Oryzias latipes: one gene and its partner. The protein of the gene in region 2 binds, or shares a complex with, the protein of the main gene of each other region. Links are inferred from orthologs where the notes say so. Each region holds a gene or a part of one and is shown on either strand. Other genes may lie near its edges. The genes, in order: farsa and farsb.

The links.
Region 1: the proteins of farsb (region 2) and farsa are in contact, whole or in part, in a crystal structure (PDB 3L4G), measured with the Homo sapiens proteins. The link is inferred for Oryzias latipes from reciprocal best matches to the Homo sapiens genes FARSB and FARSA. Residues at the interface, in NP_005678.3 of Homo sapiens: Glu26, Phe29, Gly32, Leu33, Pro68, Ala69, Asn70, Ile150, Arg152, Asp259, Thr261, Lys262, Arg305, Lys316, Lys317, Val318, Gly319, Ile359, His360, Cys362, Asp363, Glu366, Ala369, Ile370, Tyr374, Asn375, Ile377, Gln378, Met379, Thr380; in NP_004452.1 of Homo sapiens: Ser221, Gly222, His223, Leu224, His225, Leu227, Leu228, Arg231, Ser232, Arg235, Leu239, Gly242, Phe243, Thr244, Glu245, Pro247, Asp249, Asn250, Phe251, Ile252, Glu253, Ser254, Phe263, Gln266, Gln267, Phe277, Phe278, Leu279, Arg280, Asp281.

What each region holds. Positions count from the first base shown.
Region 1 is NC_019866.2:22,205,400-22,216,257, reverse strand, and holds the end of farsa (phenylalanine--tRNA ligase alpha subunit), read right to left. Parts: intron 10,691-10,858; coding exon 10,562-10,690; intron 10,488-10,561; coding exon 10,372-10,487; intron 10,298-10,371; coding exon 10,213-10,297; intron 10,139-10,212; coding exon 10,039-10,138; intron 8,498-10,038; coding exon 8,329-8,497; intron 8,247-8,328; coding exon 8,169-8,246; intron 6,775-8,168; coding exon 6,660-6,774; intron 5,152-6,659; coding exon 5,046-5,151; 3' UTR 4,687-5,045; downstream 1-4,686.
Region 2 is NC_019871.2:18,571,231-18,582,971, forward strand, and holds the start of farsb (phenylalanine--tRNA ligase beta subunit), read right to left. Parts: upstream 7,836-11,741; 5' UTR 7,744-7,835; intron 6,608-7,743; 5' UTR 6,534-6,607; coding exon 6,476-6,533; intron 6,081-6,475; coding exon 6,025-6,080; intron 5,044-6,024; coding exon 4,889-5,043; intron 4,767-4,888; coding exon 4,694-4,766; intron 4,625-4,693; coding exon 4,509-4,624; intron 4,441-4,508; coding exon 4,290-4,440; intron 4,201-4,289; coding exon 4,092-4,200; intron 3,880-4,091; coding exon 3,809-3,879; intron 3,742-3,808; coding exon 3,680-3,741; intron 3,381-3,679; coding exon 3,329-3,380; intron 3,249-3,328; coding exon 3,187-3,248; intron 1,374-3,186; coding exon 1,166-1,373; intron 1,080-1,165; coding exon 999-1,079; intron 909-998; coding exon 816-908; intron 484-815; coding exon 366-483; intron 35-365; coding exon 1-34.

The DNA of each region.
Region 1 (10,858 bases), on a different chromosome or scaffold from region 2:
ATCTGGCGCGCGAGGCAGCTGCGTCACCACACGACGAGCGGCTTGGCCACGCGGGAGGAGCCGCGAGCTCACAAGTGCAGAGCGAGCGCGCGCACCTCATTCCGTCGCTGGCGCTGGAGGACGGAGCAGCGGAACCTGTGACCTGAACCTGTGGGAGCTAGTGTGAGCGTCCGCCGGAGAAAATAGATCCACATATTTGGAATTTAAAAGAAAAAGGTAAACAAGAACAACAACATTATTTTTTTCATAAAATATATATAGATTACAATTTTATTTTTATAGGTAAGACAGACTATTGAATAATATATCTTCATATGTCATTTGAATATTTTATAAATAAATGGTCTCACATGTGGCATTATGTAAACTAATGTTATTGTTTATGTGATTACAGACTAATACACAAAGTTTAGAAGCTCTTTTAAAGCCACAGTTTTGCAAAATGAAAGGACTATGGTTCATGTTCCTCTGATTTTATGTTAGTAGTGACAAGTAATTAATACATGGTGAAAAAATTGGGAGAAAATACTTGCCTATTGTATTAAAGATACATCCATCCACTAGTATACGTATAAATGCTAAAAACAGAAAATATAGTGTATTTTAAAATATGATGTTGTAAGAAAATGATTCATTTCTCTCCTGTTTTTGTGTATTGGATCTCCGTAAAGACCTTCACACTCACACTGGAAGCATGCTGCAGTCATAAGTTAGGAGGAAGAAGCCATGAATGCTTTTAACTTCACTGGCGTGAACTCCACTCATGGGTACCCGGCATCCACGGAGGACCCCCTGTACAAGCAGTACAAGCCCCAGGTGAAGGAGCTCATCCCCTTACCCAAAGGAGTGCTCTACCTGATCATGGCCGCACTGGTGGTCGTTGGAGTTGCCTACGCCATCGTCGGACACCTGATCAAAGATCTGGCCATTGACATTGCAGGTTTGTTGAGTCCCGGGTTTCTGCCACCAGCGCAGCAGGAAAAGTCTGCTTTATCCTGTTCAACCGTCTGCTTTCTTCAGAGTGCTTGCTGGGTCCGACAGGCGACGAGGAGAAGAACGTGGACGACAACCCTCAGCTGATGCGCTTCGGCCACCCCCCCTCTGTGCACCCCTTCGCCCACAACGCCTTCCACGTGTGGGACCAGGACGACGTGGTCATCCCTCTGTCTCCAGACGAGAGCCCTCAGACCAGCCCGCTGCTGCTGGCCGCCATCCCCTACATCCCCACCTTCTTCCCACACTCTCAAGGGAACCACAACCCCCAGATGCTGTCGGGGAGCCCAGGCATAAGCAAGGAGGTCAGCATCCCCAGGGAGTTCTGACTCTGACCCCCCCAGCTGGGATTTCCCTCTTTGCTGCGACTCATCTGCCAGGATTTGTCCGCATTATTCCAAGAGGCTCTCCGTTTCACAGAAAGGTCAAACCTGAGAAGAACTACTAAAGAAATAGCGGATCTGCTGAGCCAGACTGCTTCACATTATGTTGCTGTGGGTTTAATAAAAGGAAACGTCTCTTTCCTAGTTTTTATTCAACAAAATATGACTCTTGTTTACCCTGGCACTGTTCGATTAGGAGATTGTCCACCTGTTGTGCCACTCTAATCCATTTAAGTGACGAGATTAGTAGTAAAGTCAGGAGTCACTCTGCATTAGGAACGACTTAGCTGCAAAAGTTGTTTTCACTTCTAGGAATTTATTACTTGGAGCTCAAGCTGTGGGGAAAAAAAAAAAAAAAGAGTTTCCGTTGCGGCTCCAGCCCTGCCACAGAGGCGTCCCCCTCACACGGTTCTCCAAGGTTATTTTCAGATGGATTAGATCTAGGGAAAGACTTAACGTGGTTCCTGCTATTCAACATGCTCACGCACAAGACAAGACACCTTAATCCTGCAGCCTTCATCACCGCTCGGCTCAGGTCATTGCTCCAAAAACACCTCAGATGCTGGGAGACGGCAGATTATTTTCACTTCATCTGTGGGTCATCAGGTCACAAGAAGAGTTCAGTCACTTTTGGAAACAAAAAATACATTTTAGACTTTTTTTTACTCACTCACTCTGCTGAAAATTGTGTTTTTTGGTGTTTTTAACAGATTCTTGGGGCATTTTTCTGATGTATGTTAAGAAAATTCATTTTAAAAATTGCTTTTCTGAGAATTTTTTTTATACAATTTGTTGTGAATCAGGAGCAGAAGGTAAAAAAGCGGATTGAAAAACATCGTATTTGTGACGTAGAAAATACGCTGGGCGGGACACAAACTCTCTGCTCCATTCTGATGCCTCCACCTGCAGAAAAATAGATCCGTGAACGTCTTTGTTTTCCTCGTCCGAGCTAGAATCTGGATCAGAACTGTGCGGCTGGATCGCTCCAATGTTGCTCGCCATTTTTGCTGCACTGCTAATGTTAGCTTGAGGGTGTGAGGGGCTGTGCGGTATAGGGAGAGCATATAAACAGAGAGCTCTCAGTTACGGGTGACAGGAAGGGGGCTGTTCCCCATGAAGAACTCAGAGGTAAATTTCAACTGAACTCCCGCCGCTCTGTAGAAACTATGTCCTAGAAAACGACATTTTTAGATTGATGCTAAAAACCAACATAGTTATCATTTTAAAAAACAATGGGAGTGCTTTGAAAATGGATCTTAAGATGATCGGAGGGGGACGTTTAAAATGACAGAAGCATCAAGTTGCTTTTCCATTTAAATGTTGCCATATATGTACTGTATTTTGTCATTCTGTTTGAGGCTAATTGAATTCATGTTTTTTTGCTGATTTTTAACCTTAAAAATGTTCATGTAGAATTCGTCAACAGATGCAGTTTTTTTATGTTTACATTTAAAAGAGTGAAATTACTATATCGACTTTTCCTGCTTCGCCTGACAGATGCTGTTGCTGAAAAAGAAAAATTAAATGTTAAAAGGTCATTCTAGTTCTGCAACTTCCTGATTAAAACGGTCGAGCACAATTTTAAAACATATTTTTCCAAAATTGTTGTGTTTATTACTCTAAAACAATAAGCAATATATATATATATATATATATATATATATATATATATATATATATATATATATATATATATATATATATATATAAAAACGCCCCTCTCACCCTCTGCGGGTGGTTTCTCCTCCAAGCTCGGGTCCTCTACCAGAGGCCTGGGAGCTTGAGGGTCCTGCAGTATCTTAGCTGTTCCTAGCACTGCGCATTTCTGGACTGAGAGGTCTGAAGTCTTTCCAGGTATCTGTTGTAGCCACTCCTCCAGCTTGGGGGTTACTGCCCCGAGTGCTCCAATTACCACAGGCACCACTGTCACCTTCACTTTCCATGCTTTCTCCAGTTCTTCTCTGAGTCCCTGGTATTTCTCCAGTTTCTCATGTTCCTTCTTCCTGATGTTCCCATCGCTTGGCACTGCCACATCCACCACAACGGCTTTCCTCTGTTCTTTATCCAGCACTACAATGTCTGGTTGGTTCGCCATTACCATCCTATCAGTCTGGATGTGGAAGTCCCACAGGATCTTTGCCCTCTCATTCTCTACCACCTTCGGAGGTGTTTCCCATTTTGATCTTGGGGTTTACAGTCCATATTCTGCACACATGTAAACATTGATATTTTTACTGGGGTTGATAAAGGGTTAAAAACCATTGGGTTCTTTAAATGGTCACATTTTTAAACACAATATTTTTTTAAACAAATGTTTTCCACACAAAACTAAAGCTTTAATAATTTATATTATAAAAAGAAAAGAAAAAAGTTAAAATCTAATTTTTGAACCAATGAAAAATGGATTTTAAAAATAAAACTTTTGTTTTTTGTAAATGAAGTTCTCTTTTAAATCTAGTTTAACCCTTGTGCTATCCTATGGGGTCCAAATGACCCCACCCTTGCATTGACGTGTTCTCCCTACTATGACAAAGGTGGATAAAGGTGGAAAGATTTCATGTAATCCATGGACACCAGTGAAGTTCACAAATCATTGAAGAAAAAAGGTTCAGCGCACTGTCTTGTGGGTCTAGATGACCCAACTCCCAACGTTAACGTGCCTAGGATAGCACAAGGGTTAGCCTGGATTTTAAATAAAATTTTATTTTCTATTTTTGTGTGGAGCTCGATACAAGTTCATTTCCAAATAATGACAGAAGAGAAGGTGTGAAGAAGTTCATGCATGTGTTTTTTATTTATCTGAGCTTCATGAGGAGACCCTTTTTAGTGTCAAACATGGATCCAAATGAGGCCTGGAGTTTGATGCCTTCAGGCAGAGGAGGAAAATGCTCCTTTAAATTAATTGATTTAATCTTTCAAACAAGCTCATTCACGGTTTTGATGTTGGAGACAAACATCTAAATGGAAAAAGGCAGCAGAAAGGTCAGCTTTAATCCCGCCTTCCTGGAATCTCCTCTTTGTCCGTCGCAGACTGAACAGACTTACTGAGCAGCTGCCAGAAAAAAAGGAAAAAATGAAGGTTTTTTTTCATGAACTGCTGTAAAAAATTAGTTCATCCTTTTTTTAAGACACCAAAACGGCAGATTTTAAAATTGGAAAACGGTGTAGGAAATGTCCCAAATATCCGGTTAATAAATAACTTAAGTTAGAAATGAGCTGGGAACCATCAGAAGGTAAACTGGAAAATAAAATCCTCTGTGTGAAATTCTTTTTGCAGCATAAAGTCCAGAATTATGACTCAGCTTCACAGTTTTTTTTCCATTGAAGGTTTTAATCTGAACAAGATTTAAGCTTTCAAAAGCTTGCATAGACCTTTGCTGTTGTCATGGATACTCCTCCAAAAAGGCCAGAATTAGCCTCAATAATCTAAAACAGTATTTTCGTAAAACAATTGCAGTGAAAAAAGAAAAGTCGGAGGTTAAAGCTACAAAAAAAGCTTCTTTATTTCCTTCCATCCGAGATCGTCTGCAGGACGAGGGCTGTAACAAAGTTCAGGCAGATGCTGCCTTCGGGTTTCTGCGGACAAACCCTCCATCAGCTGGAGGACGGAGCACCTCAGGTGAAAAACAGGTCCGGGGGGGTGGAAATGATGCAGCAGGTGGGCGGGGCTTAAGAGTCCAGCCGGCATATAGGGCTGTCGTAGACCATCTGCAAGTTGACCTTGTGTCCCACCAGCTCTCGGATGTTGTTGATGCCGTATTTGATCATGGTGGGTCTGCGGGTCAGAGGAGAAGGGCGAAATGAAAAACCACAGGAAACCCGCATCACAGAACAGCTGAGGTTCTGGAACAGAGGAAGGCTCTCATTTCCCATCATTCCTCTGTGCTCAGAGCAGGTCAAACGAACCACAAACTTTATTTTTCATGAAACCTAACCTACAATTCTGTGGGAGCAAAAAAAATACTTTTATTCTCTTTACCTGTGACACTATTTTGTAAAAAGGATCTTTTATGCTTTCTTTTGATTTGCCTTATTTAGAATACAAATTACTCTACATCCTAAAACCAGAAGCTTAACTGCTACTTTTTTTTTGTTTTTTTTGAGGTTTCCTTTTTTAATTTCACTAATTTCCTTTACTTCCTGCATAATTACATTTGTACTTGATTTATCGTGCAATTAAAAGGCGCATAAAAGCTCAACTCTTAAACCAGAGGATTGCTGCTTCAGTGGATAAAAAGCTATGCAGAAAAACAAAACCACTTTGTGCAAATTGGAGAGCACCAGACAGAATGCAGGATGTATGCGGGACACCGCAAGGTTCAGTTCTGGGCCCCAAATTGTTTATCATTAAAAAAAAAAGATAAATATAAAACATCAGAAGGACTTAAATTCATATGGACTGGTGATACAAAAACTGATTAGTCCTTGACTATCTAGTGGGGTCCAGATGACCCCACTCCCAATGTTAACGTTGGGAGTGGGGTCATCTGGACCCCACTAGACAGTGCGCTGAACCTTTGTTCTTTAATGATTTATGATCTTCCATGGTGTCCATGGATTACATGAAATCCTCTCCACCTTTATCCACATCAATGTAAGGGTGGGGTCATCTGGACCCCAGAAGATAGCACAAGGGTTAAATGTGAGAATTTACTCTAGTCTGAGCCTCGTGATGATTCTAATGTATAAAACACACACGGTCAGTTAAATGGGTCTGAATGAGGCTTAAAGAAGCCACAGCTTCTGCTCATCTCCTTTTCAAACATATTTTTCTTCATTTCTGTCAAATGTCGTTTTTTTTTCCTTCCAAAACTAAAAAAGACTGAATGTCTGAAAGAAATGCGATTGTTCTCAGTCTGAAGTTCTTTATCTGTTGTTTTTATGTTTGAAATGAACTAAAAAACTAAAAAAATTCTGTGTTAAATTGTTATTTTTTTAACTTTCATGCTCACTCGTGATGTGAGGACAGTGACTCATTCATTTCTGCTGCATCTGTTCCCTAGAAGGATGACAGTAAACGTAACCCTGCAGCGTTTAATGCCGTTTAAGGCTTTCCTGCTTTAATCTGTGCGCCGGGTCAGGCCCGGAGTGCTTCACTGGAGGATTCCTGCAGTCCAAAATAATAACTGCAGTCGGCTGGATGAAGTCTGAATGATTATTCCACCTGCAGCCGTAAACAAAGAGTTTAAACCCTCAGAGACTGCAGTGATCCTCTTCAGGATACAAAGCTTGGGTTCTGGATCAGGCTCTGAAGGTTCCCACCAAGCGGGAAACTGGGCTCACCTCTCCAGAGACAAGCCCCAAGCGATGACCGACACGTCCTCCGGCAGCCCCATGGGCAGCAGCATCTCCGGTCTGAAGACGCCAGAGTTTCCCACCTCCACCCACTTCTTCAGTCCTGCGTGTGCAGAGAGGCGCCGTTTGGATGAAAGCCGCAGGACAGGACACGGCAGCAGGAGGAGCCAGAACCAGCTCGTTCCGGGCACAAAACGGCGAGCGGAGCCGTCTCCACGGTAACGAAAACTGCTCCTCAGAATCCTCACATCTCAATGAGTTTTCATACTTTACAGTGAAAACAAAAGGTATTCCGTTCACATTAAGCTAAAAGATCATTTGGTTTCACATATGCAGATCTGTAAATAAGCTTTTATTATTTTATTTAACCAGGAAAGTCCCATCGAGATTAGAACCCTCTTTTCCAAGAGGCAGCACGTTTCTACACAAAAAATATGAAAAGCAGGAACAGCGAAAGGAAAACTCATCTCTAATTGTTTTTCCAGCGAGATTTCCTGTGGAAGTTATTTCTTCTCTCATATTATATTATTTTTTTTTACTATTTAACTGGTAAAATATGCCACAAAATTAAAAACGTTCAGTGATTTTCAAAGAATAAAGCTGTAATTTAATCAAATTGATCGTTTTTGAACAATTTCATGCCGAAGTAAATATTCTTTTGTAGGAAAACTTTTTTAATACAAGGAGCATTTTTGATGCATCAAAAGAAAAACTTAATTCAGCTTTAATCACAAAAGTTTCACTCTTTTTTCGAGGTGAGCATTAAATAAAAATCCATTTAATAATTTCACATTTTTTAATCCATTAAATTGTTTTCTTCAACACTTTTTTAAAGTTTCATGTTGATCCTCTATTGATCTATTTTCAAAACGTTCATAGTGGCCTTATAATTATGATAATGCTGTTTTTAGCCCAAAAAGCAGTTGTTTTGTAGGACATAGTTTCTGCAGAGCAGCAGTTCTTTAAAATTTTCCTCTGATTTGTGGGCGGGACCATTAGTATTTGTGTACAGGCTGTCCCACTAACTTCCAGCCCCTCACACCCCCAACCAACAAAAATTAATTAGACAGAGGTGTTGGAAAAAATAAATAAAATTGATTTGGCGATATTTGTATCGATTTATCAGAGCTATCCAGCTGTACAGTTCTGATCCAGATTCCAGAGGGGGGCGCGGAGTTTGTCATTCGCTCTTGATCGTCAATGATTTAAATAAACATGTTAAAAAACACTATTTTCATCGGAGTGGTTCTTTAAATGATTTGGAAAAGGAAGCAGTTTAATTCCTGAATTCACTGTTTTACTGCTGAATGTTTTACTTTGGGTCAGTTTAAACAGGAAGTTATGCAAAAGTCATTTTTTTGTAATCAAGTTTCAGATAGAAAAGTTTGCAAATTTAAACAAATCGTGTGGAAAAAGCAATTCAATCGATCCCATAGTTCTAGATGAATAAATGTTTCTGAAATCCAATAATGGACAGAACCCTCCCTCCCCCCTCACCTTCATGGTAGCTGAACACCTCCATGCTGGGCTCCGTGTACGGATTATATGCAGGTTTGAAGCGCAGTTTAGTGATTCCTGAAAAGAGAAAGCGGAGTTTGGCGAGTCTCAGACCCGTATCCGGTGATCCCCCCCCCCCATTCCATGCTTGGAATCAGACCTAGTTTGGTGAAGAACTGGTGCAGGACGCCCATGAGGTCCCCCAGCGTCAGGCCGTAGTCGGCCACCACCCCCTCGATCTGGTGAAACTCTGCCAGATGGGTGGCGTCCAAGGTCTCGTTCCTGAAGACCCGATCGATGGAGAAATACTTGACGGGAGTGAACTTCTCCTGGGGAAGAGCGGGATTACAATTCACCTTACAGTGGGATTTCCCACAAGCCACTTCCCCGGTTGCAGTTAGTCCAGAACTCAGCTGCACGACTTTAAAAAGCAACCAAAACCTGTGAGCACACCAGACCCGTTCTTGGGGCCTTGCCCTGGCTTCCTGTTATATTTTGTTTTTAATGAGGTCAGAGGTCAGCTCCAGCTTGTGGAGCCCATGACGACGATGAAACTAGAGGAGACAGAGCGTTCTGTGTTGTCAACCCTAAGCTGTAGAACGCTCCGCCTCCTCATGTCAGAACGGCGTCCTCTGTGGAGTGTTTTAAAACACATTTTTACTCTCTGGCTTTGAACGCCGCGTTAGTTGTGTGGTGCTCTCTGTTTTTATCTTATTTGTATTCGTTTTATTGTTGCATTTTACTTGCTTTTATTTTGTTTAATAATTTTTATTTAATTTTAGTCACTGTACAGCACTTTGGAAACTGTTTGGGAAACGTGCTCTGTAAATAAAGGTGATTGGATAATTCTCATGGCGCTCGCTAAAGCTGCGGTCACAAATACAACTAATTAGAACTTCCACCGCGTTCGAACCTCTGAGCTTCAGCTCTGAAGCTTGTGTTTTTTTTTTTTTACAGGATTGTTCTTTTGAGGTTTAGATTTCCTTACATGAATATGAAATTCTTTCATAGTTTCTAATTTCCAGAAACTAAATCAAGGACATTTTTTGATATTTGAAGAGCTGCAACGGCAGATTTTTGTCCTCCTTCCCATTGGTGAGTCAGTAAACAAAATGCTATGAAGAAAAGTGTTAGAGTGACATTTACGCCACCACAAAACGTTCTAAGCTTTAAATGAAAAAAATTATATATTTGCTTTCATATTTTATATTTTTACTTTCAAAATTATTAATTCTGCTTCAAAAATCTTTTTTGCATTGAAAATTGTTTTGCCTTCCATTCTGTTTTTTTGCTTTAATTTTTTTGTTTTTGGTTTCAAAAACTTTTTTTTCAAATTTTGCTTCTGCAAAACAAATGTTTTCACATGCGATGCGTCTCATCTCGCTTTGATTTTGTATGTGAGCATCTTTGAATTTGCTCACATACATTTCAGTTTAGGGTGACAAAGCTGCCGTCAAACAGCCTGTTGATTGAGAAAAAAAAAATGATGAAAGCAAAAATAAAAATAGTTGAGAAAGTTTTTGGAAAGCAAAAATAAAAATTTTCAATGAAAAGAAAAATTGAAAGCAAAAACAAATTTGAAAAAAAAAAAGATTTTTTATAGAATGACTGAAAAACAGCTGTTTTTTTCTCTATAGACATCTGTGGGGTTTGGGCTTTTTGGAGCCACTTCCTGATTGGAACGCCAGGGGGGAGTGGTCACTACAGTTCTTATAAACAGTCAGTGATTTAAGTCTTTTAATTTGAAGAATTATTTTTTTTCTTTTCTTTTTAAAATCAAACTCATGCTTTTCAACTGTCATGGCTTTCAAAGGGAGCGAGGTTTTTCGTGGGTCTGAAACGGCGTGCGGATGGGATTCCGTGGTCATACCTGCTGTGCCAGCTTATAGAGCATGCGTGCGCTGACCGCTGTAGTGTGAGTGCGGAGGATGTTCTTCTGAGCCTCTTCCATCTTCCAGTCATATTTGTACCTGGAAGGCGACAGAAGCGTGAGGCGCCTGTGACTGGGCAGCTGAAACGGAGCGGACTCGAGGAGCCGCCTCACCCTTGAGACCCGTAGCCCCCCTCTGAGTGGACCGTCTTCACCCTCTCCAGGTAGTCCTGAGGGAACTCGTGGGCAAGTGCTGGGTCTGAGAAACGATAACGACGGTGACTGACCTGGTAGAAACGAGAGGGCGGGGGCCCGTGTGGTGCACAGAATCACCTGACAGGAAGAAGGTGTCGTGCTGGTCCCGGGCGGGGTGCTGCTGCGGCTGGAAGAGGGAGTCGAAGTTCCAGAAGGAGCTTTCTATGAAGTTATTTGTGGGCATCTCACTAAAACTGTGGACAGAAGAGAGTTTGAGTCGTGGGCTTCTATTGATCTTTTGTTATTCCCCTCCCAGCCAGCTGCTCACCCCATCTCCAGGAAGATCTGCCTGAACTGTGTTCGCACCTTCATCAGCGGGTGCAGGTGACCGCAGTCTGGAGCCACGCCCATGGCCTCAAAGTTGTAGGGTTTAAACTTTCGGTCCTTCCAGCTGCCTCTGAAACAGTGACGGGACCAGATAACACTTTAATCTACGAGTGAGAGGATTGAGAGCAGAAAATTTGGGGACATGAAAACATCTGGATCATGAATTTAGACAAATCCCCAGAGAAAGATCCCTTTGGGTCTTTTCTTTTTAAGCCTCATCAGTCTTATAGCATTGCGG
Region 2 (11,741 bases):
GCGCAAAAGCGGCGGCTGTTTCTCGCCCCCACATCTGGGTGAAGGGAAAGCGAGGAACTTAAAGCAGGATTACATCCATGGCATCACAGCAATCAACCATCTTAACCTTGTGAGAATCTATATAAAACACAGACATTCATTGGTACATTGATTTACACTTACATTCACCAGCAGAAACAAAGAAAGCTCATATTAAACACGAAATTACACATTTTTGGAAACAATGAATTCAAACATTTAGGATTTTCAGCAAAGCAACATAAAATGTTTTGCATTTGGCACATTCTTTCTCAACCAAACCAAACAGACAAGCAATCCCCACAATGCAACAGCTGCAGGGTTTTTTAACTTCTTTATGTGCGAACCTTTGGTCTCATCCTTTAGGACCACATCAGAGATCTCAAAAAGCTTGAGGGGAAGGGGCATCTTCCTGTTTGCAGCCACCGTTTTCAGCAAGCCTGGCAGCAGTGAGGTGCGCGCCACCTGGTGGGGAAAAGCCATAGGTATCATGACTGTTTAGCGGGGGGCGCCCTCCAGTGGACCAACACAACATGAGAGTGAGACGTCTGCAATCTTCTAAAATAAAAAAGTTCAATAAAAGATGCTCATGATGTGAAGGCAATGCAGTAACTACATCCTTTAAGTGACTTAGTTGATGCATGAAGCTGCAAGAAGAAGAGAAAGTGCTGTGGGAGTTCTGCAGCCCCATGTCTCTCCTTCACTGACCCAAAGGCTTTTGGTGACACATCATACATCTCATTATTTGATGAATCTCCACAGAAAGGTTAGTAGTTTTTCATTAAACTGTGCTTCACCTGAAACTCTGCCGTCTTTGGGTTGGAGATGTGAACAGCTCTCGTGTCAGAGATCTTTTTACCAAGTTTGTCTGCGATGTCTTCCTGAGAGCACTGCAAGAAGGTCACAAAAATGTTTCGGTTGTTAGAAAAAATAAATATTTGAAAATGCTGATGCTTCAATGGATTTTCCTTTTTCCTCACCAGGGCAAAGTTGAGAGCTTCTGTAAACCCTGCAGCTGCCAGGTCTTGTCTCAGCAGCTCGGTCAGTTTATTGATTGGGAACTGGGGAGGAAAACGATCCATTTCTGTTACATGTAACTGGATTTGGTCACAATATTCCAGCCCGCTCAGAGAAGCAGGCAGCGTACCTGGTTGGCTACAGTGTAGGTCCGTGGCGTGGTACGGGTGATGTTGTTGAACCCGTAGGCGATTGCGGCGTCCTCCATGATGTCACAAGCATGGATGACATCCGGACGAGTGGGTGGGATCTCTACCTCAATCTCATCACCGGCTCCGGTGGGCTGAGAAAGCAGACACATCCTGGTGAGCAGCTGGGCGATCTTTTCTGTAGGTTCACTGGAAAAACAAAAAAACAAGTTTGTTCTTTAAGCGCGTCTCTGTGGACACAACAAAAAACCCAACATGTACATAGCTCTATGTTAGGTGTTCCCTATACCAACTCAATGGCCTAGTGTAGAGCGTCCCAACAGGACTGGAAAGTCACAGGTTTAAATCCAGTCAAGTCAAACCAAAAACTCTAAAAAAAAATTGGACACAGTGCCTTCCTATACGACACTCAGCATTAATTGCAGTTAAAAATGTTTTTAACCGTTAAAAGATCGGATTAGAACTGAACTGTGTACATGCTCCCAGAAAAACGTTTCTGATTAAAACAAATATTTACGTACGCCACACTTCCGGTCGGAATAAATCATTTGAACATGCCAGAACTCTCTCAAATACTGGAAACGGGCGTAGAAGAAGAAACATTGTCTCTGTCTGAATTACCACCCTAACTACTAAAAACTATATTGCGCGGCGCAATGTAGTATGGAAGCGATTGTGTAGCATAAATAAAAAGAAAAGTCAAAACCAGAAATGCTTTTCATTTTCAAAATGAAGCTGCATTTTTTGACCCAGAATAAAAATGAAAAAGCAATCCGCCAAAATGCTTTTTCATTTCCTTCCTTAATACAGCTTATTCTGTCACTTAATTAAAATGATAAAGAAAATGGTATTTGACATTTCATTTTAAAAATTTTCTCTGGTAAATGTGTAGCATAGTTCATTTAGAAAGGTCTAATTTGACAATTAAAATGGATTAATAGAAATGCTTTTTACTTTTCAAAATGAAGCTGCATGAAATGACTCAAAATTAAAAAGAAAAAGCAATACTTAAAAATGCTTTTTCATTTTATACTGAAATCCGCTTATTCTGTGTCATAATTAAAACAAAAATGCAAAGAGGGGATTGCATTTGCATTTTCACACCCACCCTGCAAAATTTGTAGCAAAATTCATTAACATTGAGCATTGGCAGAGGAGAGGCGGGGCGATTTGGTGCATTTGGTGGTCAAGACGACCACCAAATGGTTCCTGAGCACAGATGTGTTTGCAGCTCACTGCTTCCCCAGAGGAGGGGCCAGATGTGGAGAACAACTTTCTCGCACCCAAATGTGATACAATTACCGTAATAAGACTTTAACTACATATTAGGGCACTGCTTCGGTTTGTGCGATGAAAGACTGGACAAAAAAAAATGCAGACAACAACAGTTTGTGACTGATTGCGCAGAGAAACGGCCAAGAAAAGACCAACAACAGCCAGTTTCAGACTATTTTCATTTCTTAAATGTTCTTTTTCATTTCTCTGGTCTGGATCACCATCATCTGATCTGTCTAGTTTTACTGCAGAAAATCATTCACTTTTAAAGTCCACAGTTAAAGACACACACCAATTATCCTTTGATATAGTTTCAAAGCATTCCCAGTGGTCTTTATATTATGATTATGATGTTTTTTAGGCAAAAAAAAAACAAAAACAAAACAATCTGTGTCGTTTTATAAGGCAGTTTATACAGAGCAACAATTTTAATAAATAAATACACGGAAATTAATTTTTATCTTGATTTACTTTATATATGTTCTACGTCGTGTGAAAAATGCTACAAGAATACGTTAAAAACACCAAAACACCGTTTTCATTTGAGTATTAAAAGAACATATTTAGACTTTTGAATTTCTTGCCCACTCCATCAATATCCTGGAGATTAATAGATATAATGAAAGGTTCACTTTAGTGCATTTCTTTTCCAGATAAATCTTATTTAAGAGGAATAAGAACGAGCAAACAGAAAAGAAAAAGAAACAAAAAAAAACAAAAAACTTACGAAATTCCAACTTTTCGGTTGATGAACTCGCTTGTCAACTTCTCCTTTCTGTAAGCCAACTCCTGGGAAACAAGCCCGAAAGGAAGGATCAGAAACGACAGCAGGAATAAATATAAACAATAGAAGATGATGCAATACTTACAGGGTATATGCAGGTCTTCCCATCAGGATACACCACCTCAGCCTCCTCCACCCTGATGGAGAGAAGACAGAACAGAGTCGCCATCAAAGACCTCATCCTGCAGATCTTTAACATGTCGAATTAAAGGAAATACTTATTTCAAAAAGAGTCAAATTTAACCTCATTGTAGAAACTATTTAAAACAAAAAGCATTAAGCTCCTTCATAATCATCTGTTTCGCTAGTCTGCATGATTTCATTTGGCACTAAACTTGAAACCCAAACTCCTGTATGAGGTGAAGATCCTTTATGGAGGCTGGAAACCTCTGAGCTGCATGCAGAGTTTCTGTCACACGATGGAGCCGAAGCTTACGTGAAAGGCCGTGAACAGTACTGGCTGAACATGGTCACCATGACGTCCAACACAATCTTGGCCTGCAGAAAACACAGCAGGTCACTCTCTGGTGTCAGAGGACATCTCATTGTCCTCCTCAGTCCGTACCTTCGTCAGGTCTGTGGCAGTACACTCTATGAAGACGTTTTTTGTTGTTAAGCTGATTTTTGAGTGGTCTCCTGGGACAGAAAGGAACATTTTCTTTCAGGAAGTTATCTTAAAGGTTGATGTTCTAAATTATAAGATAGATTGAGCATTTATTCGTGTTTTAGAGGAGCCAGTAAAGGTTCTCATTCATTCAGGTGACGTCTTCGAGTTGAGTCTGAAAGACCATCTTGTTCAATTTTCTTGAAGATTGTAAGAAGAAAACAAAACCAGAATCTAGGCTCACCGTTAATAATAGGAGGCATTGACAAGACCACGCCGTTGCTGTCATAGATGACTGGATACACCGGCTTGTCTTCAATGATGTGAAGATAATGCCTCAGGTGGCTGTCTGTCTACAAAAACCAAACAGTGTTGCTGATTCAGTGAAGGAGAAGAAAGTGGAGGTGCTTGGAGGACCTCCTCCATCTGCTCAGCAGCTTACCTTGTAGAGGCTCATGAGCTGACTTGCGGTGTACTCTTTGTTCTGGTTGAGGGGCTTGAAGCTGATGTCTCCTGGGGGTTTGGCCGTATAGGTGAAGGGGCCAGAGATGGTGTCCAGGTCGTGTGTGCCAATGGCCACCAGGCTCCTTTTCCTGCACAGACAAACAATGTTTCAATGGTTCTTCCAATGGGATCATGTTTGTATCGATCTTCTATCGACCTGCAAACATTCTGATGCAGCTTCTCCTGGAGCTCTATGAAGCTGTCATAGCGCTCCTTGGTGAAGGTGATGTTCCTCAGCACAGCCGCCACAGCGTGGGGCCTCACTGCTGCAGTCTGCAACAAACAGGACCAATCAGCATCTAAAACGCTTGAACATTTGAAAAGAGGAAAATACAGGCCCACCTCCTTGGTGATGATTAGTCTCTGAACTTCTCCGGTGGTGGGGCTCACGCGGCTGTAGCGGGGCGCCTCCAGCCTAAAACATAAACATGTAGGTGTGTCCTTACAGCTCTACGGAGGACAAACCGCTTACATTTCAGGCCATCTGGACTTCTCTTTAAAAGAAGCACAATGGATTCTTGTTAAAACATGACTTACTTGTTCTTGAAGACCTGCAGTCCACGGACAAGCCCCTCCAGACATAGCAGGTCATAGCGGTTTGCAGGCACATCGATCTTGTATAAAATGACATCTGATGCTCCCGAGGCCTTGGAGTCACCTTGCTCCCTGCTGATTATCTCCTTCTCAGAGGTCTGTCCAGGAGAAGTTTTCATGAAATTCAGCTTTGTCCACACAGAACTTTGTCAGAGGTTTGGTCACATGACACAGAGCAGTGAAATCTGAGCTCTCTCATGTAGCATTGGTTTCCTGTGCTTTCAGAAAACCTTACCAAAGTTTGAATTTGCCTTTTTCAAAAGAATAAATAAATAATAAGACTGGTTTTTAAACTTGACGGATTTCACAACAGTCTTTTTGTGAAAAGACCTTGAATGAAACTCCTTAAAGCACAAAGGCAAGACGTCATGTTTACATGTTTGAAAAGATGCCTTTGACTGGATTTGTTCATGTAAAGCAAAATAAGTTTCAGTTAAGAGCCCAGAATCCTATTTCATCTGTTTCTGTAGGTGCAGCTGCAAAAAATAACAAATTCTGAATTTGAAAGACAAACATTTATTTTAATTATTGACATGATCAGGAAAAATGAATCTATGAAAAAACTCAAATATGTAGAACAAACTTAGTTTGTTTTTTACTGATTGTGTCCCAAAAAGACATGTAAAGGCTAATGCACTATAAAGATAAAGTCCCACTATCTGTCACACACCTAGGTGTGCGAAATTTGTTCTCCGCATTTGACCTTCCCCTGGGGGAGCAGTGAGCTGAAGACGAGCCACGCTCGGTAACCATTGGTGGTTCAACCCCCCAAGCCAACCCCTTAATGCTGAGTGTCAAGCAGGGAGGCATGACATAACATTTTTAATTGCACACATATTTTAATTATATTAACACAATTTTCAACTGTTTTTGGAAATCTGACAAAGAAAAGCTAATAATATATATCGATTGTTATGTGAACTAATTTATAAGCAGTATATTAGAAATCTAAAGTATTTGCTGCTCTTGTGTCACAAAAACACGTTTGCAGAAAAGTCAAAGCTAAATTAAACACACCGTTCACGGTGACGCAGGTTTACATCTGTGGAACCTGAGCCATGTTTCTCGAGTTTACTCACAATTTCGTCCAGTTCCAGTCCAAATTCAAAGCAGAGCTCATCGAACTCCTCGTCGGCTGAAACACATGAAGTCACAGGGTTATCAATAAGCTTAACGCGAACCCTCCGGCTTCCGTAGGTCCGCTCTTCCAGCAGAAAAACGAGAGAAGCCGGAGAATCTGATGCAACTTCTGACAGGACAACAGAGATGGCTCCCCGTTGCTTCCATGACACACATTAGTAGGTCTGGTGTACTATGATGAATGTCAGGCAAGAGCGATGTCGAATTAGCCTGTCACTTAGACTAGTGAGAAAGAAAAAGTTAAAAGTAAAAACTGACGCTACGGACTAACTAAGGAGTGGACTCTCTCTGCACGAAGCAGCTAGATCTCCAAGTTTTTGGACCTTTCACTTCAAAACCCAAATAACACATTGAGACATTATCTCGTCTTTTTCATTAGCCATCACTTACTGTAAGATCTGCCCAGCGCGCTGAACAGAATATCTCTTTTAACCCCGACGGTCGGCATGCTGGCTATAGCTAATCTTTCACGGCTCGACCAAAAGGACCCCAGCAGCCGGCCGTAGCTGTCTACAGCAGTGCCTGAAAAAAAACAACAACAAGGGAGCCCTATTAAACGCCTGCAGACTGCACAATTTAAAAAAAAAAGGTACAAACAAATAAGTATTTGATATAGAGTAATTAAAAATACTTAAAAATCCAAAAATGTATTTTGAAAAAATACATCTGCCAATTACTAAATACTTATATTTGTTGATCTTCAGATTTCGAGCAGGTCAACCTCATTCTTTCAACTAAATAATTATTTTTTTAGATGGTTCAAGGAGGAGAGGTCAGCATTTTATTTTATTTTTTCTTTCAGATCTTTCTTTCAATGGATTTTTCACACAAAAAGCTTAACACATTCTATACTGAACTGAGTTTATATATATATATATATATATATATATATATATATATATATATATATATATATATATATATATATATATATATATATATATATATATATATATATATATATATATATATATATATATATATATATATATATATATGACAAAAGAACAGATTAACTCTTGAAGCACAGGATCAGTCAAAACGGGGCCATAGTGGAATAAGTCACAGCAGCCAGCTGATATTCATCGTCTATCCCGTTTGGGGGTAAAACAAATGCACTACTTTCTTTAGAAATGCATTTGTAGTTCACTCTCTGTGTTAATACAAAAGGATTGAGATACTTGCTGTCACGTTTGAAAATTTATCAATAGCGCTATTGAAGCAGGAAGTCCGAACTTGTGAAGATCTTTCTAACTTTACCAAGTTCTCTGAGTCCAGCATTCTGATTGGTTGACTCCCCCCTCCTCCAACCCTCCCTCACCCCCTTGGTCCACTTATGGACACAGATCGGTTTTGACACAAGTTTCTCGCACTTCTGTGTCAGAAGTCCGAGCGCAGTTGTACCGCACCTGTGATTTGGGCCAGCAGATTCGAGCACACGCAGAAGCAAGTTTGAGCAGTTAATCACAGATTTGAGGTTTTAACTCTAAATGAACACATGCAAATGGGAATTTGTCAGCTGTCATTTTGTTTGTCAAACTTTACAGCAGGAGATTTTTTACACACAGATGCAGATTTTTGGTGCACAAGTTTTTAAATTCTATTTTAAAAGTTCTCACATCAAATCTACAAGCTTGTCCATTTTGGAACATTATTACCTTCATAGTCATATGTCCTAAACTTGTCACCTGAGGTCCTCCGTACTTTCTTGGTCCACCAGATGGCGTCATCTTCAACCAATAAAAATACTTTCAGGAAACTGGATGTTTCTTATACAGTCAATGATGTTGTCCTGAGACTGTTTCTAACTTTTACACTTTGAGAATACACCAACAGTCTTGCTCCAAAAACCTGCTACTAACTTGCTTCTTTTTCTCGTTTATTGATCTGAAACATAAACAACTTCTCTATAACTTCAGTTCTTTTTGTTAAATTGTTCAAAAATGAAAGCTGCAGAACTTTTCCTATAAAAACGGCCATTAAAAAAGAAAAACAGCAGCATTTCCACATAGACCTCAGCCTTACCTCACTATCAATGGACCGTCACTTTGTCTGACGTCATGAAACATGCCCTCACCTGTTGGAGCTCAGGTAACACTGTGGCATTTCTTCTCAGTCTTGTTCATGTTTTCTTGTTGCAGTAAACATTTTGGACTTGGATACATTTCCTGAATTTAGGGATCTAGTTTTCCAGCAGAACTAGTAGAACTCAGCCCAGTTAATTAGAGAACACCACACCCAAACTGTCAAAGGGAATCTCACCTGTGAAAAGTTTATGATGGAAATCTGCTTTAATATAGATTGTTCAAGATCTGATCAATATTATTTAATGCAGACAAAATAATCCCAAAACAAAAGGAAAAATATAGTCCTGGATTTACTGTCAGGCCATCATGACTGTAATGATCTCAGGAGAAGATCTGCAATCATCTGTTTCAGAAGAACAGGAGCCCCGCTGACCGTAGTCACTACATCCACCTCTGAGCAAAGCTTCTTCCTCGTTTGTGACAGCACCAACTGGAAGATGAGACATCAAGGTCGTTCTCCAGCATCATTCACAGATTCCTCATTTGCTTTAGAGCTTCATAGTTTTTTTTAGGTAAATAACAACATTCAATCATATTTATATTGACTTTACTTGACCCACTAAACTCAGGAGGTTGGAGTCCATGCACTCTTTACAGATCATCTACTGGAAACAGCCATGAGACTGGTCTTCACAAGTCTTCACATAACAGCTCTTTGATCAATCTGGACTTGATGAGATAAACATCATGTAAAGATGTTTGCCAGGGAGAGCAGGTTCACCAGATGTCAAAAGCACAGGATGAGCATCAAACCTTCCCTCAGAATCACAGCCTTCATTTCTCTCTTTGTCAAATTGCAGAACAATTTATCAATCATGTCATTTCTCCTCTGGCTTTACTGCTTCCGTTTTTTGTGGAAACCACTGTCACCTTTCACAGCTGCTCTGCATGTTAGTCTAATTCTAAACTTTGAATTCAAGATAATTTCATCTACAGCTCCTCCACAGTTTTTTTAATCATCGTGTTCTCTCTGTGATGAAGCACTGATGTTCCTAACATCACTCCCTGCATAAACTTTTAGTATTTCTCTTTTCAAAGTGATCACTTTGGATTTCAGACGATTTTAACAAGAATGCTTCACGCAAAAGCAGTCTCTTTTTTTAATCTGAAAAGTTATGCAAGTTGTTTTTAACACAACGGCCAACAGAAAGCTTAGAAGTGAGGAAAAACTTGATTAGCCAGAGTTTCCTGTTCACAACAGTTCCATTATATTTGGCGTCAGAAACACGTTTCACATGACAGATGCAAATAAATGCATTCTGTATATTTTCAAATGTAATATTTTTCTCCTAAATCTTAAAGGTGAAGAGCTTATTACCTCAACATAGCTCCTTTGCAGTTTTCTTTGATCCAGATGCAAAAATGCAATGAAGACGCCTTAAACTTCAGGGTAAACATGCAAGCACACAGTGCATTCCCCTTTTTTCTACTCTTCCTTTTTCAGGCCAAGAGATTTTCTGCAAGAGGCAAATCATGCCAAGTGAACATATTGGGTTTGCTCCCAGAAACTCTGAAACTTTCTCATAGTGAGAGTCAGTTCAGGCCCTCTGTTACCTGCCGGACTGGAAAAGTGAGACCGTTAAACAAATCCCACACTTGACAGGAATGACAATAATTTTAACTGCTAACTGAAAAAATGACAGTTGTACTTTCTCTTTCTAAATTTAATACCAATAAAATATGACCTACATTGGGGGAAAAAAGTATTTAGTCAGCCATCAATTGTGCAAGTTTTCCCCCTCAAAAAGATGAGAGAGGCCTGTAATTTTTAATCATAGGGTGCTCCTCAACTATGAAATCCAGAAAATCACTTAGTATTATTTTTAATGAACTTATTTGCAAATTATGGTGGAAATTAAGCATTTGGTCACCTATAAACAAGCAATATTTCTAGCTGTCACAGACCTGTAACTTCTTCTGAAAGAGGATCCTCTGTCCTCCACTCGTTACCTGTATTAATGCCACCTGTTTGAACTTGTTATGAATTTATAAGACACCTGTCCACAACCTCAGACACACTCAAACTCCACTATGGCCAAGACCAAAGAGCTGTCTAAGGACACCAGAAACCAAATTATTGACCTGCACCAGGCTGGGAAGACTGAATCTGCAATAGGTAAACAGCTTGGTGTGAAGAAATCTACTGTGGGAGCAATTATTAGGAAATGGAAGACATACAAGACCACTGATAATCTCTCTCCATCTGGGGCTCCCTGCAAGATCTCACCCCATGGGTTCAGGATGATCACAAGAACGGTGAGCAAATATCCCAGAACCATATGGGGGGATCTAGTGAATGACTTGCAGAGAGCTGGGACCAACGTAACACACCACGCCAGACGTGTCCCCCTGCTAAATCCAGTATATGTGCAGGCCCGTCTAAAGTTTGCTAAAGAGCAGTTGGATGATCCAGAAGAGGTTTGGGAGAAAGTCCTATGATCAGATAAAACCAAAATAGAACTTTTTGGTAAGAACTCAACTTGTTGTGTTTGGAGGAGAAAGAATGCTGAGTTGCATCCAAAGAAAACCATACCTACTGTAAAGCATGGGGGTGAAAACATCATGCTGTATAGGAGACCAAATAATTAATTTCCACCATAATTTACAAATAAAGTTTTTAAAAATCAGACAATGTGATTTTCTGGACCCCCCCATTTTGTTTTTCATAGTTGAGGATTACCTATGATGAAAATTACAGGCCTCTCTCCTATTTTTAAATGGGAGAACTTGCTCAATTGGTGGCTGACTGCACCACTGTTTTTCCTCAACTTTTGGATGTTCTTGATCCTATAGTGTTATAATTATTAGAAATTAAAACAAAACAACTAAATTTTCCTTTTTTCATTTATGTCTAATATACATTCCACCCAAATACTGGAGATGTTATTCGAAAAGCTAGAAAACTTTTATTATTATTTATATTTACATTAAATCAGATAAAGCAAAATGGTCCATTGCTTTCTGTCAGTCTTCTGTTTCTTCCTGTTTTTTTAATTTTTATTTTATTTCTAAGTAAGATAAAGAAAGACAACAAAAAGATAAAATGTTAAAATCCATAACACGCCTTTCAAATTAAATGCCTGAAATATAATAAAGGCAAAGCCCTCAACATTACGCAAAAGGCGAAAAGAAGAATTCATCAAAAAACAGAGGAAGTATATGAATCATCCTTTTTCCTCATGGAAGAACTGAAGGCAGATCCCCTCCAGTGCTGAAATGCAAAACTAAAAATATTCTCCTCTTTATCATTTGAGAATAGAGATGTATGACTAAGTAATGAATTAAACACACTCCGTCTACTTTATATAAGAAGATGAAGTGGAGGGAATAAAATAATGCACAGCAGACAGAGAGGGAAGGGTGACACAGCTCTAGTTTGAACTAAAACAAATCTGTCAGTTTTTCTGGCACATGACTCTCTTTGGAACATCATGGTGCAGTTCTGTTCTGTTCTTCTATAGCCTCAATAAAACCCCATGAGATCCTGACAAATGTGTGAGGTTTCTGCTTTATTTGGGATGATGATCGATTCTTGTTTTCTCTGCGGTGAGACATAAAACATGTCGTTC